Linked DNA regions of Arabidopsis thaliana. The protein of the gene in region 3 interacts with the protein of the main gene of each other region in a pairwise test. Each region holds a gene or a part of one and is shown on either strand. Other genes may lie near its edges. The genes, in order: AT4G29930, EIF2 BETA, WRKY75 and AT3G56880.

Evidence for each region.
Region 1: the proteins of WRKY75 (region 3) and AT4G29930 interact in a two-hybrid assay, tested with the Arabidopsis thaliana proteins (one large-scale study listed by BioGRID).
Region 2: the proteins of WRKY75 (region 3) and EIF2 BETA interact in a two-hybrid assay, tested with the Arabidopsis thaliana proteins (one large-scale study listed by BioGRID).
Region 4: the proteins of WRKY75 (region 3) and AT3G56880 interact in a two-hybrid assay, tested with the Arabidopsis thaliana proteins (one large-scale study listed by BioGRID).

The regions. Positions count from the first base shown.
Region 1 is NC_003075.7:14,640,852-14,650,316, forward strand, and holds AT4G29930 (basic helix-loop-helix (bHLH) DNA-binding superfamily protein), read left to right. Parts: upstream 1-3,142; 5' UTR 3,143-3,256; coding exon 3,257-3,336; intron 3,337-3,458; coding exon 3,459-3,624; intron 3,625-4,008; coding exon 4,009-4,266; coding exon of another isoform or gene 4,267-4,317; exon of another isoform or gene 4,318-4,366; coding exon 4,367-4,654; 3' UTR 4,655-6,508; downstream 6,509-9,465. Other genes in the region: PRHA (pathogenesis related homeodomain protein A), read right to left, coding at 7,495-7,749, 7,904-7,984, 8,142-8,222, 8,384-8,464, 8,617-8,697, 8,800-9,072, 9,188-9,238, 9,387-9,465.
Region 2 is NC_003076.8:7,091,863-7,100,450, reverse strand, and holds EIF2 BETA (eukaryotic translation initiation factor 2 beta subunit), read left to right. Parts: upstream 1-3,305; 5' UTR 3,306-3,439; exon of another isoform or gene 3,440-3,580; intron 3,581-3,781; 5' UTR 3,782-3,789; coding exon 3,790-3,828; intron 3,829-3,955; coding exon 3,956-4,070; intron 4,071-4,161; coding exon 4,162-4,217; intron 4,218-4,319; coding exon 4,320-4,374; intron 4,375-4,468; coding exon 4,469-4,563; intron 4,564-4,653; coding exon 4,654-4,799; intron 4,800-4,916; coding exon 4,917-5,059; intron 5,060-5,150; coding exon 5,151-5,236; intron 5,237-5,385; coding exon 5,386-5,457; 3' UTR 5,458-5,802; downstream 5,803-8,588. Other genes in the region: TSL (Protein kinase superfamily protein), read right to left, coding at 517-561, 671-778, 976-1,026, 1,297-1,500, 1,640-1,729, 1,987-2,238; AIP2 (RING/U-box superfamily protein), read left to right, coding at 6,141-6,308, 6,581-6,785, 6,874-7,070, 7,345-7,557, 7,639-7,788; JAZ12 (jasmonate-zim-domain protein 12), read right to left, coding at 8,250-8,346, 8,547-8,588. UniProt on the Arabidopsis thaliana protein: Component of the eIF2 complex that functions in the early steps of protein synthesis by forming a ternary complex with GTP and initiator tRNA.
Region 3 is NC_003076.8:4,146,819-4,154,350, reverse strand, and holds WRKY75 (WRKY DNA-binding protein 75), read left to right. Parts: upstream 1-3,149; 5' UTR 3,150-3,331; coding exon 3,332-3,591; intron 3,592-4,245; coding exon 4,246-4,423; 3' UTR 4,424-4,613; downstream 4,614-7,532. Other genes in the region: AT5G13090 (uncharacterized protein), read left to right, coding at 1-593; AT5G13070 (MSF1-like family protein), read right to left, coding at 5,289-5,552, 5,848-6,135; ABAP1 (ARMADILLO BTB protein 1), read right to left, coding at 7,399-7,498. UniProt on the Arabidopsis thaliana protein: Transcription factor. Interacts specifically with the W box (5'-(T)TGAC[CT]-3'), a frequently occurring elicitor-responsive cis-acting element.
Region 4 is NC_003074.8:21,056,315-21,063,811, forward strand, and holds AT3G56880 (VQ motif-containing protein), read left to right. Parts: upstream 1-3,470; 5' UTR 3,471-3,729; coding exon 3,730-4,467; 3' UTR 4,468-4,933; downstream 4,934-7,497. Other genes in the region: AT3G56890 (F-box associated ubiquitination effector family protein), read right to left, coding at 6,676-7,216, 7,285-7,403.

The DNA.
Region 1 (9,465 bases), on a different chromosome or scaffold from region 3:
CTCTAAGAGGTTAACATATTTTTAAACGTAAATATTAGTTGCTAGTCGAATTTCTTTTTAACAAAGATTGGCACAAAAATTAATGCCCAAAATATGATTTTATTTAGTTGTTACCAAACTGCCTATAGTTTGATAAAAAAATTATATATAAAAAGGAAAATTAAAAAGGGAAACGAAAAACGGAACAAATCATTGGAGAGGATCGGTCAAAGAGGAATAATTAAGCTCTTTCTTTTTAACAAATTTTATTGTCATTCACTTTTATATTTGTCTTTTGTTGGGTACTGTTGAACGAATGTTTCTTTACTTCCATCACAAGACAAATAAATAACTCAATACGTCGCAAGTGATTCTTTATATTCCTAACTGTCGACTAGAAAGAAAATAAATATCATAGTTCTTTGACAAAAAAAAAAGAAAATATCATAGTTACTTTACTCCAAAATTATAGCCTATGACTAGACTTGATTGGCCATAGAAAATACTTACATATTATGTTATGATGGAATTTCTTCAGTAGCTATTCAATTCTTGTTAGGATACGACGCTATATTATGATGGAGTTTCTTCATTATTTACATGTTATATTATGATAGATAGAACAAGAAACAAAAATAAAAAGCTTCTATGTAATTAATTATGGAAACTTTCTTTGGTAATTTTTGTTTGGACGTTGTAAATTACTTTGCTGTTTTTTATTTTATTTTTTTTTGTATATGTTGCGTTTTCGTTTATTGTTGATTTATATATTCATCTAAACGTGCTTCCAGTTTTAAATAAATTTATTTTGTATTTGTAAACTTAAAAGGCCACATGGAAAATTTTCAAAACTTTACATAAATGACTGAAATTACAATTTACACCATTTTTCTTCACACACTTAAGAAGAGTCAAGACTAAATTTTGGAACATTCAAACGGGCTAAACCATTAAGCATCTTTGTCTGGGCCGAACTCAAAATATATCTCTGTTCAATCCGTGCCTTCAGCCCAACATGTGTTTTTTCAGCCCAATAAGTTTCTTGCATGTTTTGAAATAAATAATGAATTTTAGTCGAATTACTTTCTCTCATATCGGCATATTTTGTTCATTTTGTTTGATGAATGGGTTTAAGTCGTCGAAGTTGGTTAACCGATATCGTAACGTAAGATTGAACCGGAGTTTCAATACTCGTTACATTTTTTCGTATTCTAGCTAACGTGAACGGATGTTGTTTATACAGCTTTCTACTACAAAAGTAGATTTCAAAATTGAACTGCGATTTTCTTCTTACTCTTCTAGAAACACTTCCTCATATTTAATAAGAAACGAAAGAATTAGACTCCGACAATATTGGGAATGTTTAGTTGTCATTTGGACCCAATATAATCAATTCCATACATTTGCAATTGCAAGGTGGGTGAGTCATCAAAATTTATGAATCTTCCAAAGATTATAGATAGAACAGCTTTTAATTAGCCTAATAAACAAAAGGAAATACGATTATGCATACAAAATAAATTAAATATTAAGACTTTTAATGAATTCTTAACCAAAACCATATCAAGTCATATCATACACTATCCTCCATACACGTGGTAGCATACATAAGTACGTTAAATAATTTTATTTAGCAAATAATTTTATTATAATCATCTTTGATCACCAAGATCATGTTGGGCCATCCAAGCCACGACTTTAGTAATGTGAAAACAATATCATAAGGAACGAAACACTGTTCATTTCATACAATTAAAATACAACTTTTTCCTACACATTTTCTCAAGAGTTTAGTAAGTGAGAGACGAATGATTTGAGAAAACAGTTTTTACTTTTTTCGATTTGTTTCTCAAACTCAGTATTTTCGGATTTCTAATCCAGATTAAAAGTTCTGAATAAAATCACGGGGTATGGAGCAAAGCCGATATAAGTAAAAACCTTTCCATATTGATAGACACTAGATTTTTTTTTAGTTCATAAGATAGATACTAGATTTAGTTTGAGTATAATGGATTAATGTGGAACTAGTTGTATTGTTTAGTATGTGTATGTTGTATGATTTAGTGACCGTCTTCAGTTTTCTTGATGTCTTTCCACGTTTTACAAATTCTTGAAAGAACTGAGAACTCAAATGTATGATACATAACCATTGAAAAAAATATTTCCACCATCATAAATAGAGTTTTACGAATCGTTTCACAACTTTTAATTCAGTTGACACCATTAAATAATCAATATTTCTTTAGTTACAATTCAGTAGAATAAAATTGCATATGCTATATTATCTAATTCTATGAATATTTTCTGTCTATGATATTTGATTTTTATATACTTTAGATTTTGGATCACCCCCACATTATTTCGCTTTTCAGTCACATTTTGTGTTTAATATTGCTAGATAAGTCCGTGGTTATAGCTTACTTTGTTAAAATCATATATCTCAACTTATTTCATAACAGTATCTAAAGAAGATGGAATTTTATAAATATATAGACACTCAAAAATCAGAAGAAAATATATATCCACAAATAATAGAAGAAAACATAGATTTACTGCATTCAAATCAAGGGACATGAAAGAATATCCTGGACCCAAGTGGGTTATATTTTCAATAAAATTTAGCAAAAAAAGTTGACAATCAACTAATCATCACCATTATTGGCCATAATCATTACGTACGCATACACATAGCCACGATGTCTACCTATGTTTAAATCTTTGAATTCTGAAACTACGTATCTTTTATTTTTGTTTAAAAAAAACCTAGTACGTATCTTCTTTCCTTACTTAGACATCATCTTCTAACTTTAAGGATCGAAATTAGAAGAAAAACAAATGATTAATATCTACAAGAACAGAATTTTGCATTTATACTCAGATACTCTTCTAGTACCTCACAAAAATAAAATGAAATTGGAATTGAACACGCCCTAAATTCAAGTACTATACGGTCTATACCCATTTGAGTATATGAATAATGCATATTGTGAGTGAAAGAGATAGATACGATACACTCTTTTCTTTGTTTTTCAATTGGACAAAAGGAAACAGATTTTGATCTCTGAATTGAACGGTCAAGATCGTATATAATTATTTCAGGAGATTAAGATCCCACGTGCTTAAAAACTCTCTGTCAGACTCTTTATGTATAAAATCCTCGGCCCACTCTTGTTTTGATAGTACACTCAATAGAAAGACACAAAGAAAGAAAGAAAGGACAAACAGAAATAACAAAACCTTCCATTTCAAGAAAGCATCATCTTTGTGTGTCCGAAAAATGGAAGATCTCGACCATGAGTACAAGAATTACTGGGAAACCACAATGTTCTTCCAGAATCAAGAACTCGAATTTGACAGGTGCTTACTAGAATCTTGGTCCATTTTTTTTTTTTTTGTTTCTTTAGTTTTTTTTTCCGATAAAGATTAATCTTGCTTTAGTTGGTAATTAATGAAAATTGTTATAAATTATAAAATTTAAGTTGGCCGATGGAGGAAGCGTTTTCGGGTTCCGGCGAGTCGAGTTCGCCAGACGGAGCGGCAACGTCGCCGGCTTCTTCGAAGAACGTTGTCTCCGAGAGAAACAGACGGCAAAAGCTTAATCAGAGACTTTTTGCTCTCCGGTCAGTTGTTCCCAATATAAGCAAGGTATGATTAATTATTCCATTACTTCTCTTATTTGTTTAATCAACTGTCTCTTTTAAATTTAATTTGTTATCCAAATAATTTAGTAATAAAGTTTCGTCACCAGCAATTTTTGTTTTGGTCAACAGAAATTAAATAAGCGAATAAACTTTCTCTTCTTTCTTTTGTAAAGAAATAAAACTATACAAATACAATCTGGTTAAACCAAATCCAACCAACATTAAACAAATAAGCAAACCAAATTTTTGATACTCTAAATCCATATCAAGCCATACTAAAATGTATTTTGGTCCCCTAATTACCCTGATAGCATATAATTGTATACGTGTGATGATTTGTTGATTAAGACTGGATTTTATTGAAGTATTAATATTTATCTATTTTTAGTTGGACAAGGCATCTGTCATCAAAGATTCTATCGACTATATGCAAGAACTTATTGATCAAGAGAAGACTCTAGAAGCAGAGATCAGAGAGCTAGAATCACGGTCAACATTGCTAGAAAATCCGGTAAGAGATTACGATTGCAATTTTGCGGAAACTCATCTGCAAGATTTCTCAGACAATAATGACATGAGATCAAAAAAGTTTAAGCAGATGGATTACAGTACTAGAGTACAACACTACCCCATTGAAGTTCTCGAAGTACGTACTATGCATTATTTGGCAGTACATTCTAAATTACCTTTCTTTTGAGGTAAAGTTAATTATTCCAAATTGTTTTTATATAAACATGAAAAAACAGATGAAAGTGACATGGATGGGAGAGAAGACGGTAGTGGTATGCATAACATGTAGCAAGAAAAGAGAGACAATGGTGCAGCTTTGTAAAGTGTTGGAGTCTTTGAATCTCAACATTCTCACTACTAACTTCTCTTCCTTCACCTCTCGTCTCTCCACCACCCTCTTCCTCCAGGTCACTCTCTCCCTCTCTCCCTCTCTCATATCTTTATTTGGCAATGTGATTACTAGTACAAACTACAAAATTCTAAATGCATCTAGAGAATACTGTACGTGTCTTGTTTTGGTTTGACGCTCATTTTGCACTCATGGAGCGAAATTATAAAATGTTAATGGAAAGAGATGATAATATAGTTTAGAAGATTCTTGCTAATAAAGAATGTTAGATCAATTGTAATCAGCTATAAAATTAGTTTTATGCACTTGTCGGACTATAAAACACACCAACCAAATATATTTGTCCATTTTTAATTTGTCGCAACTATTCAGACTTTTATATACCAAATTCAAATCTTACTATTTTCTTTTCTTTTTGGTTATTTTGGGAGAAAAATGGTCGTCTGACGGCACGTAGACAAATCCTTTAGTGGACAAGAATTAATAATATGAATAAAAAGCATATGACTAAGTGCTTTAGTAAAGTGGATTGTTCTTTTGTTTTGGTAAAGAAAATATGTTATCTTTACGTAATAGTACAAAAATGTAATTCAAACTTACGAATTGTTTGGAAAATCACTATCAAATTCAAAAGGATAACCTTTAGACGGACCCATTTAATTACTACTTTTCTCCCACCTGTCTCCATTAAGTGGACCTTAATTCACATTACACCTTAAGTATATATAGTCAGTAATATCTTAATCAATCAATTAAAGCTCCAATTATTGAGGTTGCCTCGAGCCCATCACATTTTTTTCGAATTTCGCCTTGACTTTTTCTGATAGGGTTAGATTCTCTCAAAAGTTAAATGTCATATTCCATAAAAAATTAGGATTAACTTAATCAAAAAATTAGTGTGTGAAATCTCAAGTGCCTCGTGTCCCAGAAAGTGCCGTCCAAGCATAGTAGCACTAGAAAAACGTGGCTAATTTATAACCTCACGCGGTTCAACGTTTGTCTCTTTCACACTTTTAGCACGTGACTTTTCTAGCACTACACCTTATATCAATTCTTAACTCAAATTAACAATAGGCTACAAATCAACTGTAGCCAATTAGCAAGTTATTTGTGTTAACTAGTTGTATATGGTTCATAAGGTCTTCATTATGCTAATCATTTTGGTAAAAATTAGTTACTCCAAATGATATCCATAGCAGTTCATGGTAGAAATTAAGGTTTGGTCCTTTTTAATATAAGCAGATTTGTTAAGAGTTATTATTTTGTGTTTTTACTCTAAAAAATACAAATTCATTTCATTATCTCTATCTATTTGATTTGTTTATCATCATCATATACTAGGACTTTGGTGTAAACAATCTAATTACAAAAATGCTAGTTTCGTGAACTAACGTTCTATTTTTTTTGAAAAAGGTAATTATATTATAAGCTGTAGGTTGGAAATTTTTGATGACAACAAATACGAGTATTTCTTGCCTCACAAATGAATATAATATTATGTTGGTTTTCTTTGACAAAAAAGAATTATGCACCTTTATAACATTTTCTTGATAAAAGATAATATAATCAGACGCTAAAATTACAGTGAGGTATAGACCAGTGGAGTCATTGAGAGTTGGTGAAATCATACTCCAATCATTTATCAAATAAAAAGTCGATCATTTCATTTCAAACCTGTCCTTATCCGTCCTTTTAAAGATTATACAAAAACATTAAACAATGATTTATCCACCAATCTCATTTTCCACGGGAAATAATTATAGTAGTAATGCGTGCAGGTGTATATACACAAATTTATCAGTTCTAATTTTCTTTTTACGTGCTGCCAAAAAAAAAGAAGTTTTTTTTGTCTGATTCGTGTAAAACCTAAACACCCCTAATTTTAATAATCTATACTGACGTTGGACTTCCTAGAATCCTAATTTACTTCAAAATTCTGTAAAGATATCGTATGATTGAAATAATATAGGACTGTTTTAGTTTATATTGTGATAGATGTATTAATTATAGTAAATCGTTGAATTTGCAGGCGGATGAAGAAGAAAGCAGTGCAGTAGAGGCCAAGATACAGATGGCCATCGCAGCTTATAATGATCCAAATTGTCTTATCAACTTCTAATTTACTTCTGGTTTTTTACTTAAATCCGTTTTATGCAATATATGTGAAGAGCTACTATTGTGAGGGTTTATTTGTTTGAGCTACAAAACATCCGATGTTTTCTAATAAAATAAAACAAAAATATGCATGTTCCTTCTTATAATCTTAAAAATTATACTTCTAAAAAAATCATTTGAATTAATTGCAATCATAACCGAGTATAAGAAGAAAAAAACATAAAGAAATATGGTTAAACTAAAAAAGCAAATATGACTTTATAAAAGATTTTGTGGATACTTTGTCTTTGAATTGATGAACATGAATCAAATGCATATTGTAAGTTGCAAAATAGAGAGACTTGCCATTTGTTTCAATTTGATCTGTAAAGTTAGGCAACAAATGTTTAGTAAACTCATAAAAGTGACAGTAGGCTTTGTTAAGGAGTTATGTTCAGATAATTGCAGATTTGTAAACAATTTATTCTTACCGCTATATACACTCGGTCTAAAAGCTTTCTCTATAACCATCATCTTTCTATGATTATTACTTGGTTGAAACTAAAAATATAGTTGCCAATCTTACTCTATCTGTAAGAACCTAAATCTTTCAGCTTTATTATTTTTTAAACTAAAATTAAAAGCCAAAGTTATTTGGAAAAAGGGAATTAAAAAAAAAAAGAGAATAAAAAACGAAATGTACATAATTCAAAAAAGAGAGCTAAAAAGTTCCATTAAAAAAAAAATCCCAGTTTTATTTTTTTCTGGGGGATTTTATCTGAAGTTTAAATGACACATACAAACTGAATAATACACAAAACTACATTAGGTACTCTCTTAGACTACGTTCCAAAAGAATCTAACAATACCAAAACTTCTGCAAAGGACTTTTTTCTTTTCTTGATATATATATATATATTGTTACCTTTTCTCCTTGATCTCTGCTATTGGAACATACACTACTGAGTCTTCTTCAAGTAAAGGAGAAGAAGAATTGCCTAACTTTTTTCGGCCTTTTGGTGTTTTAAATCTATCAAGCCTCTGCGTCACGTCCAGTAACTTGTTTTCTGTTCTACAAAGCATCTCCATTACTGCTTCCAATTCTTCCTCTTCCGTCATCTTTCTCCCCGTCTCCTTCTCTTCTAAGCTCATTTCGTTGCTTAGCTCTTCATGTGACTGAACACAATAAGAACAAATAAACTTTAAAAATCTACAATTGTCTAAAACCACTTGTCAAACCAAATTCATGGAAGCGATACTTGATCATGGTTTCTTTAATATAGATATGTTCAATAAACTCATTTTGGCGAACCAGCTAATTTCATTTTACCTCTTCCGTCATCTTGCTCCCTGTCTCCTTCTCCTCTACCGCTGTACTTAAGCTCATTTCGCTGTTTAGCTCATCATGTGGCTGAACATAATAAGAAAAATAACTTTTAAAATCTGAAATTGTTTAGAATCACTGGTCAAGGCAAGTTCATGGAAGCAGTACTTAACCATGGTTGTTAAATATCAGATATATATGTTCTATCAACTTATTTTGGCAAATCGGCTAATTCATATCTTACCTCTTCCATCATCTTGCTCTCTGTCTCCTTCTCCTCTACAGCCGTCTTTAAGCTCATTTCTCTGCTTAGCTCTTCATGTGGCTGAACACAATAAGAAAAAAATTATTTAAAAAATTTAAAACTGTTTAAAACCACTGGTCAAGAGCTCAAGGCAAGTTCATGGAAGCAGTACTTAATCATGGTTTTTAGTAATAGATATGTTCAATGAACTCATTTGGCGAAACGGCTCATTTGTATCTTACCTCTTCTATCATCTTGCTCTCTGTCTCCTTCTCCTCAGCAGCCGTCTTTAGGCTCATTTCACTGCTTAGCTCTTCATGTGGCTGAACACAAAAAGAAAAGTAACTTTGAAAATCTAAAATTGTTTAAAACAACTGGTCAGCCAAGTTCATGGAAGCAGTACTTAATCATGGTTTTTTATTAATGGATATGTTCTAGAAACTCATTTTGGCGAAACAGCTAATTTATATTTTACCTCTTTCATCATCTTGCTTTCTGTCTCATTCTCCTCTACAGCCGTCTTTAAGCTAATTTCGCTGCTTTGCTTTTCATGTGGCTGAACACAATAAGAACAAATCACTTTTAAAAATCTAAAATTGTCCAAAACCACTGGTCAAGGCGAGTTCATGGAAGCAGTACTTAATCATTTCTATCTTACCACTAGAACGAAAGAAGAATCGTTTTGTTCCAGATACTGTTGACTTTCATCTGTGGGTGAAGGAAAAGAGACATTTTCCTGTTGAAATTCCTCCTGGTTGTTATTACATGGGGAGAGTATGTTTTGATTTGTAGCGTCAAATCCGGGTGGAACAGTGTCATCCAAAGTATCTTGAACTTCATTTGTTTCAGTGTTGTTCTCCATGACTGCTTCTGGTCCAGAATCTCCTCCAGAGACTGTCTTAGAATCCCCAGGTTGTTTCACGCTCTCAGTCTATCATATATAAACAATGGCAGCCAAATGATCAATCTCCTTGTAAGAAGTTTAGTCTCTGTAGGCATCCAGACAATGTTCATATGTGTGAATGAAGCAAGTAATAGCGATTTACCTTCCTATTCCGCAGTGCCATATACCGAGTATTTTTAAACCATTTATTGACCTGTAAAAAAACGATATTGAAGCACACGTAGAACCAAAAAAAAAAACTAAGAAACCCAAATGTTCATTAGCTGTATGAATGAGTTTCATAAGCCTCGATTGATCTAAGAAACATTCGCAAGATAACTTTTTTTTGGCTGCACTGTTACCTTCTCTGGATCAAGACTCAGCTCTTTTGCAAGACGATCCCTCACAGCTTTTGAGGGAAGCTCAGTCTCTGCAAATACT
Region 2 (8,588 bases), 2.9 Mb from region 3:
AATTTCTTCATTACACTAACAGTAATAGTGCTACAGGGTTTGCAAAAGTTTCTGCCAATTTAAGTACCAAGTTGATATGAAGATACCCAGTTCGTTACAATTTGGTTCCACATTCAATGCACCTAAATCGCCTTCTCCGCAATAGATTGCCTATTAATTATTACCTAAAGAAATACTACTAAATGCTTTACGAAAAGAGCTCACTGGAAATGGAGTACTATAGGTAACGTAGACAATTGCAAGATCCAAGCTTTCACAGATATTTCAGTTATTTAGCAGCAGCACCATCAATAAATTTACTGAGCATTCTAAGCAAATCAGGAGACTGTCTATTGATTTAACTTTCTCGGGATAGAACTACCATGCTTCTTATGGAGAAAAATGTTTAACTCTAAGATTCTCCCAAAATCATTGAGAATATTAAAAGTAACCATGCCATAGTAGGTGCAAAATTTTATAAAAGAACATAAAAATTCTCAATAATCTATTAAGACACGGAAACAAAAGTTTGCGTACCTTTTGCTTCCCTTGTTGTTCCTGATCTTTCAGATCTTTTACCTCCTGCATATATCATTACTAGGATTATAAGCAGAGCAGGGGAATGGGAATAGATAAAAATGGTAATAGCATAGGCACAAATAGCTAAATCTGAAAGGCATTCACACAATACATTCTCAAGATTCCTGACAAGGTGGTGATACTCAGAAGAATCTTGTCGAGATTTACGCAATTCCTCCTCCAGCATAGCGATTTTTGCACGCAAAGATTTTAAGTCTTCCTGATTTATAAACAAGGAACAAAATAGTGAATAAAGAAAGATATAATTGTACAGTTTCATTGTTGTAGGATAATCATATATAATAATCCCGTTCACTTATTCTAACCAACTTAGAACATGCAGCTTAGTCCTAGACGATGAGACACAAACATATTCTCCAATATTACAGAGTAAAAGACATTATAGGAGAAACTTACATCCTGGAGAGAGCATTCACCATTCCTGAGCTGTCCATCAGGCCTAAAATCCTGGAGAATAAAATGCAGAAAATATTCATTGATAAACTGCGTCTGGTCATCAACATCAATGCAAACAGCAAAAAAAAAGGTAGGAAAAGGCATAGTAATTCTTTCTTGTCCTGCTTAATTTTTTCATACAGGCCAATTAAAAGGTTTTACTTCAGGAAAACATATAATTTGTGTCCACGTTTGTCAACGAAATTAAGTCTCATATATGTAAATCCTCGATGATGAGAAGAGTGGTTCCATGTAAGGTCCGATGAGGTAAACAATACTAACCTTTTGATCAGAGGCATCCAGTTGACTGGCAGCTGATACTGGTGCAACCACAAACTGAGATTTTGTCACATCGTTATTAGTTTTAGAACCACGCCCTCTACCTGTTGACGAAGCCCGACCTCGACCTTGTTTCTTCTTACTTACATCAAGGCCTGTCTTGGACTCAGCATCATTTTTCCTTCCATCATATGCTGCCTCTTGTGGCTTCAATTCAACAATATTCTTCATTATAAGTTGATGAGAAATACTAGGAGACAAAACTTACATCATACACCAATATTTGATATAAAAAACATCAACCCGATAAGAGACTAAAAGAAAACTCTTTATGAAAAATCAATACCTCAACATGATCAACAACACTGAAGTTGTTAGATTCTTGAACTTTCTGGCGCTTTTTTGTATTTGCTCGGATTAGGAAATCTCCAGTATTCTGAGACAGTAACAAGGAGAATGAGATCTAGCTAAAAAAGAGACTGTATTTCTTGTTCAAGAAAGAAATATAGATGCATCTGCAATGCCAGGATATGTAGCCAGCATTGCATACAACTTTGATCAATCTTTAGGCACAAACTGATCAATACAAGGAGGATAGGGACATCAACAATTCAATTAGCAACGACCCTTAGACTCACAAGAATCATAGCATAGACATAAACAAAAGAATTTGAAACAAACATCGGAAGCTACCTCGTCGTCTGAATCACTGATAGAGGTTTCGGACAATCCCGGCGGTGTGGAAGTGACGACTTTGACAGCGGCAGAAGCAGATGACCAGAGAGAGACCTGCTGCTGCTGCTGTTGTTGTTGTTGTGGTGGCTTGGCCGAGGAAGGGGTCTTACCAGTCAAGCGGGCCTCAAGCTTGGCGATTTTGTCGGGTAAAGAGTGATCCGACTGATTAGAAGAATTCGAGGAGAAATGCAAAACCATGTCATCCGACATTGCCAAACACTTGCGGACACTTCACTCCCTAATTTCTACACAGATCAGAGTAAATTCGAGAAATTAGGGTTTTTTAACGGAGAATTACGGAATTGGAAGCTAGAATCTGGATGTCGAAGAGAAACCCATCAACAAATTTTCATGCTTTTATGCAAATCCACGTGGAGGAAAGTGAATAAAACGTACAGAGAAAGATAGACAGAGAAAGAGAAGGAGGAATAAGGTTTTTGTTTCGGTGAAAAAGAAAAATCGAGGAACCCTAAGGAATTAGGAGGGAAAGAGAGGTCAACACAAAGTTCTCTTTAGCACTCACTCTGATACATTTTTTGGTTTATCAGATTTTAGCCTAATTATATAATCTGAGGTTTGAGACAAGTTTGAGTTATGGGTGTGTTAATTTGGGAAATTTCCATTTTTTCTTTCTTTTTTTTTCTCCATTTGGTATCATGGATTAGGGTTGACTATAAGTAGGGTTTTCTTTGATCTAAGGCCAGACTCGTGGTTTAAACGCTAAAATCCGATTATGACTATATGAATTTGCGGAAGTAGGCGGTTGCCGTCTCAAGCGTTATTAAACAATTTGAACGATTAATTTAGCGGTTGAAAATTAATGCATTTGCGGAAATTTTGTTACTGAATATCTAACAAACTAAAATACTTAATATATTAAATAATAAAATAATATAATTTAGTAATTTATAGTAAAATAAGATATGCTAGACTATTAATTTTGACACTAAATATATTCTGATTTCTTTCTTTACTAGTTTCATTTATATTTAATAACATTTTTATATAATTTACTATTCACAGAATTTAATAAGAAATAAATCTTAATTTGAAAAAAAAAAAATTGATTTGATAAAATTTCAATTGATTAATTAATTAAGACAAATAAAATAATAAATGAGAATCTCAGTGTCAATTAATAGATAAAATTAAAATGTAACATGCGTTAAGAAAAAGAAAAAAGTAAAAATGTAATATTAAGGTTTAGGCAAAATGAAATATTTACAGAGACCTTTTACTATTGAATTAAAAAAAAAAGTTACAATTCGAGATGGACTATTTTTTTGGAGGAGCAAGGGTTAACTCTTATCTCAGATTAAAACAACCCCTGCGCCGCTTACTCTCTCTCAGATTCCTCCCGAAGCAACCTCGTTTACTCTCTACGCCAATTTCAGCGCTTAGACATCCCTTTGTGAGTTTTCTTCGATTCCTTTTCGAATTCTTCTGGTCGATCTCAGAGTAAATCGTGTTTTTGGAAGAATTGAGTATAAACAGATTGGTAAACCTAGCTGTTCCGTTTCTGATTTGAAGCCTTGTCGTACATTTTATTTGGGTATTTTTTTTATTGGGAATCGAAAAGTTGTTCTGAATCTCGTTATGGTTTTGTTGCGTTCCGAATTACCTCTCTGATTTAGAAACCCTAATTTCGGACTTGCCTATGCTCATCGTTGTTACAGATTATGTTGATTCTAATATGTATATGTTTGGTTTCTGAGGTCTTATTATCATTGTGTGTTTTCGTTTTGTATCTCAGTTGCAATCATGGCTGATGAAATCAATGAGATAAGGGAAGAGCAAGAAGTAAGTTTGTTTTTTTTCTCTGTTTCTTAATGATAGGGCTCAAGTTAGCCATATAGATTTTTTTTTTTGTTTTGTTTGATGAACTCATGATTGAATGGTTTTTATGTTTTGGTTCATCCTTTTACAGCAGCTCGCACCCTTTGATCCTTCCAAGAAGAAAAAGAAGAAGAAGGTTGTGATTCAGGAACCTGTCGAGGACTTAGCAGAGTCTTCACAGACTGAGAAATCTGATTCATTGCCTGGTATGTATGATGAAGAGTCAATGTGATGTGAAACATTTTTTTTGTTTCAATGGTCTTTTGTGTTACTTTGTCTAATTCCTTGTTTTTGCAGTTAATGATGGTCTTGAGAGTTCATTTACTGGAATGAAGAAAAAGAAGAAGAAGCCAGTGAGTATTGTTTTACGTTTTGTGCCTAGTATTTTTTTTATGTCATTAAACTTGTGTGTTTGATGATTCTGTGACTCACATTTGTTCTTGTTTGATATTTAGACTGAATCAAGCTTATTGAACAACGAAAGTGTTGATGCTGGGGAAGATTTGGATGGTACTTTTAATATCCTTTTTTTTTGTTTGCTAATATACCTTTTCTCTTGGCGGGGTTTTTATCCTGTTTGAATCTTACTGAGAATATATTGCAGAGATTGCTAATGACGAGCAAGAGGGGGAAGAAGGAATAGTTCTACAGCAACGTTACCCCTGGGAGGGAAGTGAGAGGGATTACATATATGACGAGGTGACTATATTTTCGATGATTTCTTTTGTTTTAATCCTTCATAAATATCTTGCTCCCTTGTTTTTTTGCTGACGGGAGTTATATATGCAGCTTCTTGGTAGAGTCTTTAACATTCTCCGTGAAAATAATCCGGAGCTTGCTGGAGATAGGCGTCGTACAGTTATGAGGCCTCCTCAAGTTCTTCGTGAGGGGACAAAGAAGACTGTCTTTGTCAACTTCATGGACCTTTGCAAGACGTATGAGCTAACTCTTTATCTTCCTCTTCAAACTTTTTCTGTGTAACCATAAGTAATATTACCATTTAATTTTGATGACTTTTCGATGACATGTCTTATCTGCATATAAAAAATCAGGATGCATCGTCAACCAGATCATGTTATGCAATACTTGCTTGCTGAGTTGGGTACTAGTGGTTCGCTTGATGGGCAGCAAAGGTTGGTTGTTAAGGGAAGGTTTGCACCTAAGAATTTTGAAGGAATTTTGCGGCGATATATCAGTAAGTAACTTTCTTCTTAGTCTCAAAATTTAAGTTGCCATAAAAGTATATCAGTTTGGAGTTGTTAACCTCTTGTTTTATTATTTCTCAGCTGACTACGTCATTTGCCTTGGTTGCAAGAGCCCAGACACCATTCTCTCCAAGGAGAACCGTCTCTTCTTTCTGAGATGTGAAAAGGTATAAGTTAATCTAATTAGTCCTGATCTTGATATGCATTCCTTTGTTTCTGTTTTACAGTTTTACTTTCTGCGCAACAAAGTAATAAAGTATTTTGTGTGTTTGAATTTGCTAATGTGATTAACGAGTGGGCTACATGGTTTTTGCAGTGTGGATCTCAACGATCTGTGGCTCCGATCAAAACAGGGTTTGTTGCTCGTGTTAGTCGCAGGAAGACTTGAGAAATTAGAAGGTGAAGTGACCTTGGTATGGAGTTTGGAGCTATTCTACTGCTTCTGTATGAGTTTATGAGTTGAAGAAATACTTGTCTTGTTTTTTTTATTTTGTTTTGGAATATGATTATGACTTGACTTTTAAAATGGGATAGGATCAAAACCTTTTACTCTGTCAGGTTCATGTGGTCACCTTGAAGGTTGATTTAGTAAATCCATGGACTTCTTTTTTGTGTTAAGATTATTCTTAGTTCAAAATTAATAGACTAATGATATTAACGTCCACAGGCATTGCGTTCAACATCTCAAATTAAAGCGTGGAAGGCTCAGAAAGTCCAATATACACTATGTTTATCTACAGTTACAATCATACTACAAAAAACAAATAATGTATACGGTTTGGTCTAATATAGCCGCATACGATTTAGTATTTACCAACAAAAAATTGGTCTCAAACCAAACCGAACAATTGGTAATTAACAATTGTTCTTTTGGTCTTGAACCGAACCAAACCGAACTGAACTATATTAACCGACCGACTTCGTCCTTTCCTCCTGATCAAGAAAACTCGTCTCCTACAAAAATCCCAGAAGACAAGAGATTGGTTCTTCTTTTGCATCATTCTTACAAAATCCCCAAAATCATTCGAAACCCCTGAGTATTCTCCTTAACTCTAAGAAATAAATTTCTGAATGGATGCATCGTCTTCACCGTCTCCTTCCGAGGAAAGCTTGAAGCTTGAGCTTGATGATCTTCAGAAACAGCTGAACAAAAAGCTGAGATTCGAAGCATCCGTTTGTTCTATTCATAATCTTCTCCGTGATCACTACTCTTCTTCCTCTCCTTCTCTCCGCAAACAGGTTGGTTTTTATTCTTAGATTTTCGGATCAATAGATTCAAAATTATTCGGAATTGTTAGGGTTTATGCCTGCCTTGACGTTTACTCATTGCTTATGTCTGATGATGGGTTTAACTTTTGAGGATTGAATCAGGAATCAAATATCTTTCTTTTATTGTTTTTCTATTTCAATTGTGGAGAAAGTTCATGTTCATGTCAAAAATTTCATTTAATCCGATCTGTTTTTGTTTAGTTACCCTCTGTGACATAGTATTGATTTGATTGCCATTGCAGTTCTATATAGTTGTATCTCGTGTCGCTACGGTTCTTAAGACAAGATATACAGCTACTGGATTTTGGGTTGCTGGACTGAGTCTTTTCGAAGAGGCTGAGCGACTTGTCTCTGATGCTTCTGAGAAGAAACATTTGAAATCTTGCGTTGCTCAAGCTAAGGAGCAGTTAAGCGAAGTAGATAATCAGCCAACAGAGAGCTCACAAGGTTTGTGAAACATTTAGTTTGGCTTTTGATGGTTTTAAGTGAAATTTATCTGGAGATGATTTTTATTTCTCTTGTGAATTTTTTGCAGGTTATCTTTTTGAGGGACATCTTACGGTTGATCGTGAGCCGCCACAGCCTCAGTGGCTAGTACAGCAGAATCTCATGTCTGCTTTCGCTTCTATCGTTGGTGGTGAATCCTCTAATGGTCCTACTGAAAACACTATTGGGGAAACTGCTAACTTGATGCAAGAACTTATCAATGGTCTTGACATGATCATTCCAGATGTAATGCCTTCTCTTTTCTTCCTTACTAGTTTTAGATTATGTACTATCACACATAGCTGATATCACAAGTTTCTTCACCTAAAGATAGAGATGAAAGCAATTCTTAATCATCCGCATTCTACTCATATGTTGTTTTTTGCATATTGAGTTTCTCCACTTGGTTGTCTCACTCATCTGTATCAAGAGTGTTTAACCTCAACCTCTAATATTGTATTGGTAGCGTCTTTTTCTTAGCTTCATGATTGAAAAGTGATATATGATGTGTTCTATGCAGATACTAGATGATGGTGGACCACCAAGAGCTCCACCGGCAAGTAAAGAAGTTGTAGAGAAACTCCCAGTCATTATTTTCACCGAGGAATTGCTTAAAAAGTTTGGAGCAGAGGCAGAATGTTGCATCTGCAAGGAGAATCTAGTTATTGGCGACAAGATGCAGGAATTGCCATGCAAGCACACATTTCACCCTCCTTGCCTAAAGCCTTGGCTGGTATAAAAAAAAAAATCCCATTCTTTCAAGCTTACTAGTAAGTAAGAACATAAAGCTTATGCTCATATTGTTTTATGGCAGGACGAGCATAACTCTTGCCCTATATGCCGCCATGAATTACCAACAGACGATCAGAAATACGAAAACTGGAAAGAGAGAGAGAAAGAGGCCGAAGAAGAGAGGAAGGGCGCAGAGAATGCTGTCCGCGGAGGTGAATATATGTACGTTTAAATTTCAATCAGTTATGGCACACTCCCATTGTCTTTCCTTGAAACATCTCCGAATTGTTGTTCATCATTCACAATTATAAATCCCATTTTACATATAGATTCAATGTCTTTTGTATGAAAGCTTATAATAACAACACAGACTTCTTTACTTTACACACAATTGTATCTTGAAGAGATGACAAGTTCAATAACATAACATCAAAGAGTCATTAGTTAGATAGACTCTAGGACAGTGTTACTAACTACAATAGTTTCTTCAGTAGAATTGTAAAATGGCAAACATATCTGACCACTCCCAGACATGGAAACAATCTTCGGTTTGTCTAGCAAACCTATACAGACACTATCATACAACACATTACACACAGCAGCGTACATGATAGATTATCATATTAATTACTATATTGACAAAACGTTTTACTTAGTTTGCTTATAAGCTTAATGTGGAGGTTTGATCTTCTGCTAAGCAGTTGGAAATTCCTCCTTGATAGAGACATTGCCTGTTGGGACATCTGTCTTTTTGAAGTCTGAAGTAGGGTAAGGGTTTTTGTTGACCAATCTGCAGATAAAAAAAAGTGAATGTTATTGTTAGATGCAATATCAAGGTTAAACATTATGATCAATCTGTCTTTACAAGTCTCTCACAGGTACATTAACAAGCTCTGTATTAGTAATCAATCAAAAACTGAATAAAATAGATCAGATTTGAATTTCCATTGAAATGGAGAAGGATGAAGTGTAATTTTAAAGGCTGCATACCTGTCCCGTCTTTTCTCGAGGAATCGTTGAAGCGAATGCCTC
Region 3 (7,532 bases):
CCGATAGAGGAAACTCTTCTTCAAAGAATAAGACGAAGAAGAAGAGCAACAAATCTAGCAAAAATCACAAGCCACCAGTTTTCGATTGTGAGTGTTTCGATTGTTACACTAACTACTGGTTTCGTTGGGATTCTTCGCCGAATCGTGAGCTTATCCATGAAATCATCGAAGCTTTCGAGAATCATCACGGTGAAGAAAACTCTGCTTCTCGGAGCAAATCTAAGAGAGGTAAGAAGAAAGAGAAACCGGGTCGTCGGGTCACTGATTCGGATAGTAAACCGGCTCTTCGGGTCACGGATAATGGTGATAAGGATTCTAAACCCGTCGTGGAGCCAATGAACGAGACCACTGTTTCCGAGAGTAGCCACGTGTCGTCACCAGTTAGATTGAGTGAAGCTGAGGTGGCAGAAGGAGAACCGGAGGATGAGATTGTTGTTGAAGAAGATGGACAAGAAGAAGAATCGACGGTGGTGGTTTTTCCGGCGGCGGCGAGTAATGTGACGGGACACAAAGGGTTGGCGAGGAAGGTATTACCGGACGTGTTGGGTTTGTTCCATTCCAATTTTTGGAGGCTTTGGAATCCGAACGCGTAAAAGCATCGACCGGAAAAAAGTTATGCTTTTTTTAATTTTTTTGTTGTTGCTGTTTTCAGGAAAAATAATCTCATCTTTTGCTTTCATTTTGTTCTTCTATTCTCGAAAAATACATGACTACTTTGGGGTTATGTTTAATATTCTTGGTTGAAAAAATGCAGCTCTTTTAGCCACCATTTCTCTTTATGAAATTCTCTAACAATGTGTGATTATTGTTCTGTTGGCCAAAACTATTTCTGCGGATATACATGAAAGATTTGCAATGTAGTTGATGTTTTGCATTTTCAAGTTCTTTTGACTTGCAATTTTTGTGTTTGGTGGTGAGACTCTACTCTTTCTAGGCGCTGTACACCGAATTTGAGATTTTTTTATTTGAGTGTTTTTTTTAGCTTAGGAACAAAGTTTGTGGATTAGGTAGACTGTTTCGAAGAGTGGGCCAACAAATATTTGCCTTGTGATTAAGCCATCCTCATCTCATAGTGAGAGAGTGTGTCTCATTCTTCTATTTATCTATCCATTTATAGATAGATGTGTTGTTAACTGGTTTATGTGGTTTCATTAGTAATAGTTACGTTGTAACTGCTTTATCATTTATTTATTTTTACGACTCCAGAAATGAAGAAGATGAAATCAAAGTTCTGTTTCTACTACCGTGTTACAACGTAAAGCAACAAAACATTTGGTTACGTTTATATAGGAAACCAAAATTGCCAAATTTAACCAAGGCTTGAACAAAACTTTAATCAGTTTCTTGTTGTTGTTGGGCCCAAAGCTACCTGTTTTACCAATCAAATCTGTTCTTACTTTGTCAATTGTCACAAACCTTGACTTAGTTCTTAAATCACTCACCAAAAACTCTGATTCTCAACCCAAAACAAGAAATAAACTTGTACTTAACTGCCAAAGGCTTGTTGAGCCTAACAACAAATATTGGCCCACATAACAGGCCCAAATCTTACAAAGCACCCAACCCTTTTTTTTTAGCACCCATCCCTTGAGTACTTTTTTCATTAATGTTCTTTTCCAAAAAGATATAGAGGCTGCGAGATGTGAAAGAAAAAAAGTGAGATTGCAAAAGAACACGTGCGTCTTCCAAGAATTTTCTTAGGGGTTATATAATATTCAAACATTTGATCTCTTTGATAATTGTCCAACCTTTTCTTTTTACTTTGTGCTTTTGAATGGTCAATCAAACATGGACTAACAACAGTAAATGGTGAGCTACTTTTGTTTTCCTAATTGAAATTGATTAATAATTGGTAAATGGTTTCAACTTCAAACCTCGGAAGAATAATCATCAAACACGTTTGCGCCTCTTTGTTTACCTTCTACAAGGACTTAAAGTTTGACCAAAATTCCTCAACTACATACGAATGAATATACACTGACGTCCGAAAACAAACCATGAAAAGTACTTTACTTCTCATTAAGCCAATGAAGAAGAAAAAAGTAGCAATATACTCGTCCTAAGCTTTTTTTTTTTTGCTATGAATGTTGTTATCATTATAAAAATTAAAAGAGTTTAGCTTTACTGAGTAAGGGCCTATTGTTTTGAATCTTTGGCCAAAAAAGTTGCGGAATCGTTTGCGTCTGTGGTGATCATGTTTATGATCTCTCTGTCAATTGTGTCGATATACGTCATTAGTTATATCTTGGTATTTATTCAATAAAACCATCAAAAACTGTATTTATTCATCATGGAATCGGTATTATATTAAGTTATAACCGTATCTCACCACAACGACATCAACATCTTTATTCTTTGTTTTAGAAAGCAATGGAACGAAGAACAGATTCAAACTACTTCTCTTTTTTCCACGTGTGTAAATAGTCAATAAATTAGATGGTCCAAGGATAAACTCGTATTTGTATATACAAATATCGAAAACGACTTGTAGTGTGTTTAAGAGCCAATCTAACAATTTTATATGTGTGGATTCAAACATTGAAGACTTTGATTGATCAATTCAAAGAAGTATGCATTTATTATATGCACGGATAAAATGATGACGTTCGACAAAAAAAAAAACGTAAACCTCATATGACGTTCGGATAAAAGAAAAACGTAACACGTACACGACGTCATTGGAGAGATCATTCGTCCGTTCGTAATAATCTTCCACAATCCAAAATTCTGTGTTCTACGTCGGTGCATGCATCGTTTTTTTGGTTATTCTACTTCAATGAATCGCGAAAAGCAGAGTGAGTAATTGATTCTTACGTCAGATCACCAATAAGTCTTTCCTTCCTAATTTGCAATATCTATTACAAAATCTTTATTAATGCGCAGTTTCAAAGCACTCTCAATAGCATACATTCTTGTGTAGATCTGATCCTTATCCATATATATATACATTTAATTGATTATTACTCGTGAAAACTCAGTAAACTATCTTGAGAAAATTGCCTATATCTTTTAAGAAATAAGATTAGGGGTACATAAAACATTATCTTACAAATGTAATTATGTAAAATGTTTAATCCTTACGTGTCGTCTACGACACTACCCCTCTTTAACGATTAGCAGAGGGCCGCCTCTTCGTCTTTGACTTCATAGTCTACCATAAATATGTCTATATATTTTAGACTAAACTTTATTATGTTTTCACAAAGATATCTTAACAAACTCCAATCAATTATCAAACAAAAAGAGAGGAACAAAATTCTTCTTCTTTTGGAATTCAGGTGGATCGGTCTGTCTCGTTGTTATAATCAAGATTCCACAAATAATTAGGAATATGGAGGGATATGATAATGGGTCGTTGTATGCTCCTTTTTTGTCGTTGAAATCTCATTCGAAACCAGAGCTGCATCAAGGCGAAGAAGAGAGCTCAAAGGTTAGATCAGAAGGTTGTTCGAAAAGCGTGGAGTCGTCGAAAAAGAAGGGGAAGAAACAAAGGTATGCGTTTCAAACAAGGAGCCAAGTGGATATTCTTGATGATGGTTATCGATGGAGGAAATATGGCCAAAAGGCCGTCAAGAACAACAAGTTCCCTAGGTTCTTCTTCAATTCTCCCTTCTTATTTATTCATTGCTTACAATTGCTATATATTTTATCGAACATATAAAGAAAGAGTTAAGAGTTAGACATGCATATATATGCTTTAGCCAATTCGAATCAATCTCCAATTAATGTGTATATGTATCATTCACATCGGCCCTAGATTGATCTTAACTATTCTGCAATATGTGTTTTGATTAATTTATCGTTTTCATCTTCTATAGCTAGCCGAGATACATGATCTATTTGTTTCTCTATCTAATAATTAATCAATATTTAATATAAATACACTTTTGGTCAACAAATCATAGAAATGTGCTTTTGTGAAGAAATTTGATGATTAATTACTCTTCTAAAAGACTCGATGAATATATGTATATCCTATTCACATTTTATTCTAGATTGATCTTTACTAATTGATTGGGATATGGATATGGATATTGATTTTTTTTTTTTCTAGTCTATGTAGCTAACAATCAGCGATTAAAAATGAAAGTCTTTTGGTAGACATTTTTCTTCTTATAATTTGGATTCGGGAACATATATGTGACAGTTAATTACTCTTCTAAGAGATTCAAAAACAGTTATTTGCATATAGAGAAGTGAAGTGTTTTGAAATATAACTAATGGTTTATATATATAAATGTGCAGGAGTTACTATAGGTGTACATATGGAGGATGCAATGTGAAGAAGCAAGTGCAAAGATTAACAGTGGACCAAGAAGTGGTCGTGACAACCTACGAAGGAGTGCATTCGCATCCCATCGAGAAATCCACCGAAAACTTCGAGCATATTCTCACTCAAATGCAAATCTACTCTTCTTTCTAGTTAATTCTCTCAAAATCTTTTATACCTTATTTTAGAGCCTATAATTCTTAGAGCTCATGTTGTAAATTATTTACAAAAATTAGAATGTTACATTTTACGTGTGTTGAAAAGAAAAACCATGCATGATCTGATGATCAGCTGAAGTTTGTATCCTAATAATTTTTAATAAAAATTTCAAAAATTGAGTGTAGTCTATTACTGATAGCAGCATATAATGCACATATTAAATTTCAAACAACTGTTGCTAAACATATTATTACGGTTATCTGATAAATAGTAATACTAATGGTTAGGCGTTAATAAGATATGTCATAGTCTCTAACTACCCACCGAAAGTTGTAAGAAAACTACATGAGGTATGGGAATCTGAAAGTTAGCTAGGTAAGTGACAAGAAAGTAAAAAATATCAACGGAGAAAATGACTTTACAATTCTTAAAATTAAATCAGTAACAAAATAAACCCATTTTGCTAGTTAATTCTGCTATCAGCAATGATGCTCTTGAAACAGTGACAAGAGAGTCATTGTTCTTCAGCACCGTCGCATCAGTTCTTGAGTAATCCAGTGTCTTTTTTGCATGTAACCAACCATCTTCGTGTAAATGTATGTAATTGAGCCTGAAATCTTTATTATCAATATCAAGATGCAAACCGTTTGGATTTGGATTCAAAAATTTGGATAAAAGCTTCACAATTCAACTTTCAGTTGCTAACACAAAACAGGAGTTACTGAAACAAACACCAATTTGATCTAAACTGTTTCATAAACTTATTATAACCATGCTCCAAAAACGTAGCTCTCTTGACTTACAAAACATTCAAGAATCACAAACCAAGAAGATACTGGAATCTAAGAAGTTTTGATCTTTAGATCCGAGCGGATTCTGCTTCCATATACTTACAAATCCTCTCCATAACCTCTCTTCCTTTAGCGCTATTCTGCATGAATTTCTCTGCGCACTTCTGTTCAACCTTCTCAGCCATTGAGGCCAGAGCCGACAAGGGTTTGATCCGAATGCTTGTCTCCTGGCTACAAACAGTCCAGGCTGATGGATTATCTGGATGCGGATCATATCTTATCCTCTCCTCCACTTCAATGAACTTTTTGAGACTAATGTTCTTTGTTGTTAGCTGGAAAACGAAATAGTTGAGACATCTTAGCTAATCCAAACACTCATCTATGGATTGTTGTTTATGACTTCCAACTACTAAGAGATACTTCATGGCATGCTAATCAAGTTCCAATGAAACAGATCACAGCAAACTAAAACAAGTTCCTTATCTTACAAATTAGGCAACTTCTTACTAGAACAAATCCTTGGTTGCTATATAAGCTAATCTAATCACTCATCAACGGTTGTTTACGCCTTGTATCTACTAATAAATACTCTATCCCAATCAGAGCATAGAGAAAAGCCGATGATACCTGCATAGAACGTGATTTGCCATCTACAACTGTTGATTCAACACAGTGACAGATGTCCTGACCAATGATCCTATGGAGAAACCATGGACCAGGAGCATGGATGGTGAGAGCACGCGTGGTGTGGAGTTTCCCGGTCTCAGTGTCGAGTTTCCTGTTCAAGGTATCGACTTCAAGGATGTGAGAAAGGATGCGTTTGTTTTCAGGGTCTGCAAACTTCCTCCATGAAGCAGCACTCACCCGCTCCCACGGATGCTTGTAAACATGCTCTTGTCTGTATGCTTTTACCATCAAGAATCTAAACCCAAATCATGAATGTTTTGTGTGAATAGGTGAAAGTGTAAACGAGATATTTTACTACAACAAATAAAAGATTTCTCAGATAAGGATCTAACCACATGATTTGGTCTGCAAAACATTGTTTTTAGCTATGAGGATTGATAAATTTCAACAAACAAAGACGAAGAACACTAACAATTTGGAGAATTTAAACATTGATTTCGTAAATAAAATTGATCTAATTACGGAAATTCTAATTTCAAATTCGGGAATATTCTTCAACGATTCCGACATCGGCGTGAATCAAAACGCACTTAAGAAACACGAAAGAAGAATGGCAGTTTTTGGTACTGTGCTAACAAAATTGAAGGAAACAGAAGAACAAAGAAACGTAATTTAACAGTTGACTCGATTGCTAATCGAGATTTAAAGGAGATTGTGGAAATTGGGAGGAGAGAAGTACCTTGAGAGGTCGGCAAATTCAAGATCTTGGTGAGCTTCGAGAAGTAATAATGACCCAAAAGTGGAGGACGTGACGAGAGTAAAAATAGAGAGGAAGCTAATCAATGGCGGTGTTTATAGAGAGAGACTTGCGGCTTATGTTTACGAACCACGATGTTTCTCTCTCTCAGTCTCTCTCGTAGACGGCACTAGTTTTTGGGCCTTTATTAAGCCCTATTCAGAGACCTCATTCATTATTGGGCTTTAATTGTGTTGAAAAACTCATAATTTATTGTCATACTCTGTGACTTTTTTTCCTTAAATGTTTTTCTCATTTTCTTATATACATAGTAATTATACTAATTTTCTTAGATTATGCAAATTATGCAAATGCATGCAGCAAAAAAAGGATTAGGCAAAAGCATGGATGTCCAATGTGGTTTTTGTTAAGTTTGGTTCAAACATTTTCAACACAAGGGACAAAAACCAGACATTTGTGTTACTGTTTCAAGGCATTCAAGATCTGAAGGTAACAAGAAGTATTCATGTTGCAGTTAATGTTACACATTTTGAGTTTGATTTTTCCTAAGCAACTTTCTATGCCGCTTTAGAGCCATGTTTTCTCGACCATTTGTATTTTGTAGTCTGATGTTCTCAGCCATTTGTAAAAAAAGTCATTTTATAAGCTATGTTTGAGAGCCTCTTTGGTATTATTGAGTTAAGCAGTTTATATTAGAGATATAGCAGTAACAAAATACAGACCGGTTATCAAAAGAAAAACAATTTTACCTAAGTAAAGTAAATCAACTACTTCAAACCGGAATCCTATATGTTTTATACGACGGTTGGGGGACTAGCTTCGACCGGCCGTGTGAGAATATCAGTCATGTAACTCCGAATTTCAGGTATAATTTGCTTGACAAACTTTGCAAACCTGCATTAGGTAAATCAATCGAAACTTGATGAGT
Region 4 (7,497 bases), on a different chromosome or scaffold from region 3:
AAAAAAAAAAAACAAAAAAAGAGTTTCAAAGTTCGTGGACGCATTAGCAATACACTAATTTTGGACCTCTTGAACCAACGTAAATCGTCTCATTCATCGATCTGCTGTATGGAATATATAGAATATAGTGCTTAATGGAATTTTTTCAAATATATAAAATTTTAGTTAAATATTCAACCGCTGATATTGATGTGTTTCGCAGCTTTTCATAATTGCTAATTGTCAATGATCGGGACTTTACAAGTGTTGTACAACTAATATGAAGACTAGCCAAATTAAGTATTATGTGCTGACTCGTTATTCTTTTAAGTTTTACAATTATCTTCTTCGTTCTTTTTTTTTTTTTGATAAAATCAATAAAAATACAGTTCTATAATAACTATTCTTTTCAACTGTTAATAAAAATTTAATTTTCCTTTTTGTAACGGTTATTCGTTTCAAGTGTTAATATGTACTAACATATTTGAAAAAGAAAGAAGAAAATGAGTGGAATTAATATTTACGGTTTTGTGGTTGTTATCAAACTATTAATTGGTTTTTTTTTTGGTATATAAAGGATCGTAAAGTAGTAAACCTTAATCAAGCATGTTGAAGGAACAATGCCGACGTCATCCAAATTTCGATGTCTCCAATAATTGACCACTAAAATCAAACGACTAATGAAGAGAGTTATGTAAAAGATTGGTCATGTTTTTTATGGGTCCATCTTCTTCGCTTTAGTCTTTATTATATTATCGTAAAACAATAACTCTTTATGAATTTAATTTCTAACCAGTATACTAATATATACACACATATGTATCTTATATTCTTAATCAACCAATCCAATCAATATAGCTTTCTTCACGCAATCAGCTTCTTCCCATATATTGTCACGAAAATATTATTTATACATATTACATTTACACCGTCGTAGATATATTAATCTTTGTGGGCGTAATAATCACGGCTCTCGTAATAAGGAGGACTCTTCTTATCAACAATCCAATAATTTTATGGAAATTATTGATAACAATTTAGTTAACTACAAGTAGTACTGTTTCAACATATACTATATGTGTACTTGCATAAAAAGATAACTTACATAGCTCGCACTCATTTCGATTGAGATATTCACGAAGATGTCAAATTCATCAATTTATTTATGTGTACTTGCATAAGGAACGAAAATAAATAGATGTCAAATTCATTAATTTAAAGATAAGAAAAATATATTAAAGTACTACTAGGTTTTGGAATTTTCAATTAACATAACTATTTACGCGTAGTATATGTGAATTTTGGTGATGTTTTTTTTAACTGAATTGGTATAGATGTCTGTAAACAAATTATTTAGTAAGTACTATATTATTTTATTTTTGACATGGGAAGACCAAGATTCTGCGCTTGATAACACTGGGAACTTGCATTGAAAGAAGCAGGAGACAAGTTAAAAGAGACAATATCGAAAATCACGACAAATGCTTTTTCTAATTGACATAAATAAACAATATGAATTGTGATAAAGTATATGTTTTTATATTTATGCTAAAAACCATTGTAGATTTTTAAATGATAACAACAAGCTGATAAATTAATTATATATCAGTTAGTGGCTTATATTTTAGTGAACTCGACAGTTTGACTGAGAGATAATAAGAGGTTAGCTAGATTCAATCCGATTTATTTCGTTAGAAGACTAGACCTACATCTAAAATGTGCAATCACACACACACACATAAAGTAAGTATAATTAGAAAGAAAAAAAAAAAAGTACAGACTAATAGATGGGTTATTATAAAGATTTGAACAAAAAACAAAGAAATGTGCAAATGAATTAGATTTTGATATTTAGAAAAAGGAAAAAAAAAAAAAAAAAGAAGAATGGGCCGGAGGGGACAGTGTAAGGTAAGTGAGGAGGAAGAGACGTCGGGATACGTGAAAACGCGTTTTTATTTCTTACAAATAAAAAAAAGGTTTATGACGAACGTGGCAGATAATCATTTTAGATCGTTCATGCATGGATCATGCAAAAGCCTAAAAAGTGACTAAAAAAACTCACTTTCGATTCCCACGTTACAGCTTCATTTGATACTAATATAAGTGTGTCGCTTCTTTACACTTTTTAGTTTTCGAATTTCAGTTACATTAGTAATTAAGCTGAGAAAAAGTTTAGCTGTCCAATTTAGGTGTGTATAAGAATCTTAAAAGTGATTTTTTTGATTACTAAATGTATTTGGGATCAAAGTTTATAAACTTTCACATGCATGGTATAACATTGGATGATATCATTTAATTTTATAAATCAAAGCCCAAGAAAAAGATAAAGAATATTATATGGTTGAAATGAAACCATTAATGTCTGATCCAAAAACATAATCCGGTTCAAATATTTAGACTAGTGTAAATAAACTATCTATTTGATAAATTACACATCAACATGAAAGCCACTCATTGCTATGTTTTAAGTTTGTTTCCTTCAAAACTATCACAACTCCATGCACCTAGTTGTTAAAGAAAATAAATAGGAAACCAAAATTTTTGTGTTTGTGTTTTTTTGTTTGTATGTTGGTATAGATAATTTTGACATTAATTTGTCCCACTAGAATATAAAAGGAAACCAAAATTTAATACGATATGAAGCCCTCTCAAACTTGCGATAAATTTGAAGCTTTACAAAATCAACACAAAAACGGAATCACTTAAAATAGTACTACTGTGATTAATAGTATTTGTTGACCCAACAAAATAATATCTAACATTCATATCCATAATAATATCTAAAATTCATATCCATATATATATATAGAGCTATACATATTCTCCTAGTATTGGTCACCATGGCCTACTTGCATTTATGCAACCTAACGTTTCCCTTTCGATCGTTGTGTTGATTTGTTTCAAGTTTGAACATAAACCGATAAACAGTTTCGACGGGCAAATAATACAGTCTTTGTGCCATATATAAGAAAGAAGCTTAAGGACACTAGTGAGATTAGTGTGTTGTAGTGGGTATTTAAATAGTGAAGTTACAGAATGTTAATAAAGTATAGACTAGAAACCAAACTATTGAAACCATTTTCTCCAATCATATTACATATACAAATTCAAAATTTTAAATATCAAATTTGAATTGGAATGTTGAAAATAGCCTGGCTACATTTGGACTGTGTCGAACACTCTACATGTAGAAGTGAGCAATGCTATATACAATATTGTTTCTTTGTTCAACTCTATTTTCCACTAATTTTCTTTTAAAAAGATTAACAATTAAGTACTTAAATGTGTCAAATCAGCTATATAACCTTGAGATATTTAGGAGCAAAAATAATTTATATTTTTACAAGACCAATTCTCAATCCATCTTTTTTTTATAATAAAAATGTTCAAAGAAGAGATTAGCGACGACATAATCCATAAATTAATACAGAGATTAGATAGAGAGTCAAGAAAAATGGGTTTAATAAATAAGACGAAAAAAACAGAGCTGAGTCAGAGTTCCGTACAATTCTGCTGACGCGTGTCTTCTCCTTTCTCTCTCTTCTCCACGCGGTTTCTCATTCTCTCTCTCTCTCTCTTCGCCGTCCTATTTATATTATCTCTCCTCAGCTTTCATTTCTCCAATTCATTCATTATCACATTCCTTTACTCACTCTCTCTCTCTCTCTAAAAACAGAGCTCAACAATAATGATCCACTAAAAAAGATTCTCTTTTCTCTTCTTCTCCGGTGATTTACTTACTTAACAATCATGGCGTCGTCGGAGGGATTAGCAAGCGTTGATCCTTGGTCATTCCGTCAAAACTTCAACATCGATTCGTGGCTACTCTCTGATTCCTTCTCACACGACAGTGATATACTCGCTAAAGCTCTTCACAGATCCATCTCCACTTCCACCGAATCATCTCCTCTTTCTCCTTCATCTTTCTTCGACTCTTCAACCGCCGCCGTCGATTTTTCTCCTCCTCAAACTCTCTCCAACGTCTCTTTCGGCTCAGATCCAGAAATCCCCGCCGCTAGTGCTCTTGGTCTCGGGAAACGAAAACGTGGTCCTGGTGTTTCCGGTGGTAAACAAACGAAACGCCGATCTCGAGTTTCTAATAAGAAATCTCAAACCACGTTTATAACGGCGGACGCTGCTAATTTCCGGCAGATGGTTCAACAAGTCACCGGAGCTAAGTTCCTCGGTTCTTCCAACAGCATTTTCGCACCGATTGTGAAGCCGGAGCCACACCGTCTCGCTAGTAGATTACCACCGTCGTGCGGAAACTTGGACCGATCTTCAGCTGTTCCAACGCTAGATACGTCGTCGTTTTTGTCTAACCATCACCAAGAGAACATTATCACAGATTTGGGAGCTCCGACCGGTTCGTTTCATCATCAATCCAGTGCAGGTACAACGACGGCGAACGTTGGTGGTGGTAGCTCCGCCGTGGAATTGGATAGTTACCCGAGCTTCCCAACACTCGAATCATGGAAAGTTATGTGATCGATCTGATTTTAAGATTAGTGTTTATGTAGAGATGTAATCCCTTTTGTTTTTTTCCTTTGTGTTTCTCATTTTGTTATGAAGAATCTTGTTTTAGTCCTTAAGCTTATGCAGCTATGGAGTCTCTTGTTCATACTTTTGGGGAAATCAAATGGTTTATTGGAAAAAAAACTTGTTACTGCATTAATTTTGTGTTAGCACTATCAAATTTACTTTTTAACTGTTTTTAAGGATAAAAAGCGGAAAAAGGATAAATCTTCTTCAGCCTATACATGGCTGTAAAAGAAGGATTTGTCTTCAGAGAAGCTAGGGAATATCTTTATGGTCCCATGTATCTATACACAGAAAAGACAATCATACACGTTACCACCACCACAATAATGTCTCCATTACTGATACAAATCTATTTTTCTCTTAGATGTAAAGATTCCTCTTATCATATAATCTGAAGATTAATAAAATGAAGCATAGTGTAGCAACAAGAATTAAGTTACACAAAATAGGAGATTAGCTTTCAACAACTACTACAAGAGGAGTATGTCAAAGTAAACGATAATGCGACAACAACCCAAGTCAAAAAGATTGCATCGTAAAAAAGAAAAGTTAGAATACTCTCATAATGGGTTTGGTGATCAGAAACAAACAAAAAAAAATTACATTTATAAGGAGATTATATATGAGAAAAGTCGCAAGCAATAGTTTAGTTTTTTCAACAGCTCCTTAGGTCAGTTTTAAAGTGAGTCAACGTCAATGCCACAAAAGAGGAAGCACTGATTCATCATGAGTCGTGTTCTTAGTTTGACTGTTAAACGTCATTTGCGTTGATTCTTTGATTCCTATATTACACGACACCAATATATGTCCCGTTGAGATCAAACTTACTCATTAGAAACAAAACGTATACTTTAAACAAGACTTAACTTAAGATCCCGAAACGTTAAATCAAGGTTGACACTAGATTTGGATGCACTTCACATTTTTGTTGGATCTATTCACTTTAAAAACTCAAAATTTTGCAAATATTGGTGTAACATGTGGACGGTGGAAGAGACTAACCGAGCAATAAATATTAGGAGGGGCCATAGATTGACCAAAGCGATTATATAATGTAAGTCATAAGTCAGAACAAAGACTAATGTAAAGGCGACAAATATATTAGGGGTTGTTGGTGGTTGCACCTGAGATGGGTTTATGAGGGAATCATCATCTACTTTGTCTCACTCTGATTCAGACACTTATCTATCATCTCATGTGGGTCGGTCTTTGGGCTTTTAATTATGAGGACGACACCAAAAGTGTGTGTTCAGTTTACGTTAAACCCAGTATTTATCTGTGGTATGATTCAGCTTATAAACACAACTTATTACCAAAAGCTAGGAAGTAATTAAGTATTTTTGTATTTCACATCTTCCACAAGTTGATCTCTAGTTTGTTTCCTAGCCTATACTACACTGGTGAAGCAGCTAGAAATGTGCTCTTAGATTTGCAAACACTTGTAAAATTATGAGATTTCCTCTGTTTCTTCTCATTTGTTTTTTAGTTGTAACGCTTCGATCAAGAAACCCTTATAAGAAAGACACATTCTATCAAGCAGCTGGGCTTTTACAGTGGATGCAGTAAGTAATCAATCTAAAGAGATCCAAATAGTGAAAAAACCTGAAAATGCAGATTACAACAACTTAATCATTTCGTGTTTTCTGAAACTAAGTCTTGACTTTTAATTTGGCTTGGCCTCGAAGATCTGATTAGAAAATCAAATCAACACCTGTCCTCACTCTAGGTTAGCAAATACTTGTACCTGTTCTGCTGCGCTTGTTATTCATAGATGGAGTGGAACCGAGTTTGCAGAGACCTCTTCCAGATGATGGTATCAAGGCAAAAAATTATGTGCAATGGTAGAGACAGCATTAAACTATACAATCGGATTTACTGATTTAGAACTGTAGAGAGATAGAATTACAAATGAAAACTACGTTAACCAAAGATAGTCACGAGGTACATACGATTTACCAAAGCTAGATTTGACTCGCACAGACTTTTACAAACGTCTAATACTATTAACTAAAGAATATAAAGGCATACATGATGCCCTTTTGCTTTTTACCTATTCCTTGTCTCATTGTTTTACTCTCTTATACTCTTCTCCTCTTCTTCTGTCTTCATCTTCACTTATGTCTTTTCCATTTCTTCTCCCTACTTACACCATCATCATACCTCGTCCCCTACGTTGTCAGGACATAACGTTTCACAGCAGTAACAGCGGCTCTTGATATGAGAAATGCTTGACTTGAATTGCTTTGCATCGTTTAGACTAAGATCCTCAACATAGTCAACAAAGGCATAAACTTCACCACGATGCTCAACCTCTTCAAGCTTAGCTCCAAAACCTTGGATTTCAACACTTTGGAGGGTTTTCTTTTCGGGATCGAAGTAGAATACATAGTACGGTTTACATGTATACTTCATACACAAAACAATATCGCCTCTTGCAGTCACTCCAGCAACTGAAAACTCGCAGGAACCAAGGACTTCATTCTCCGGTAAAGTGTAGACATACTTGACCCATTCCTGTTTCTCAACATCCTCTAGAACCCACAAACACAACTCAACGGAACGTCTTCCACCAACGTCAACATAGTTGCACTTAGTCACAGCTAATTTACCCATATAGTTGACCAAACTTAATCCACTAGGGTCCTCTATATGATCATCTAAGCATTCTGACTCAATAAACTTGAACTCCTCAGAGCTAACATCAAAGCAAACAATCAAAGACAGTGTTTCCTCGAAACAAGTTCTAGATAAGTAATACAAAACCCCATTGATGCATATCCCTTGAGTCCTTTGACAGCGATAATACAAAGGACCATCAATATCGTTTCTATCCTTTCTCCTCCACTTGAGTTCACCAGATCCTTAATTTTTCCTCTTTCCATTGGTTTCGCCGGAGTGCGTGATTGTTCCGCCGGAGAAGCAGAGGGTTTTAGGAATACGACGACAAAAAGAGAGAGAATACAGTACGTGGCGCTT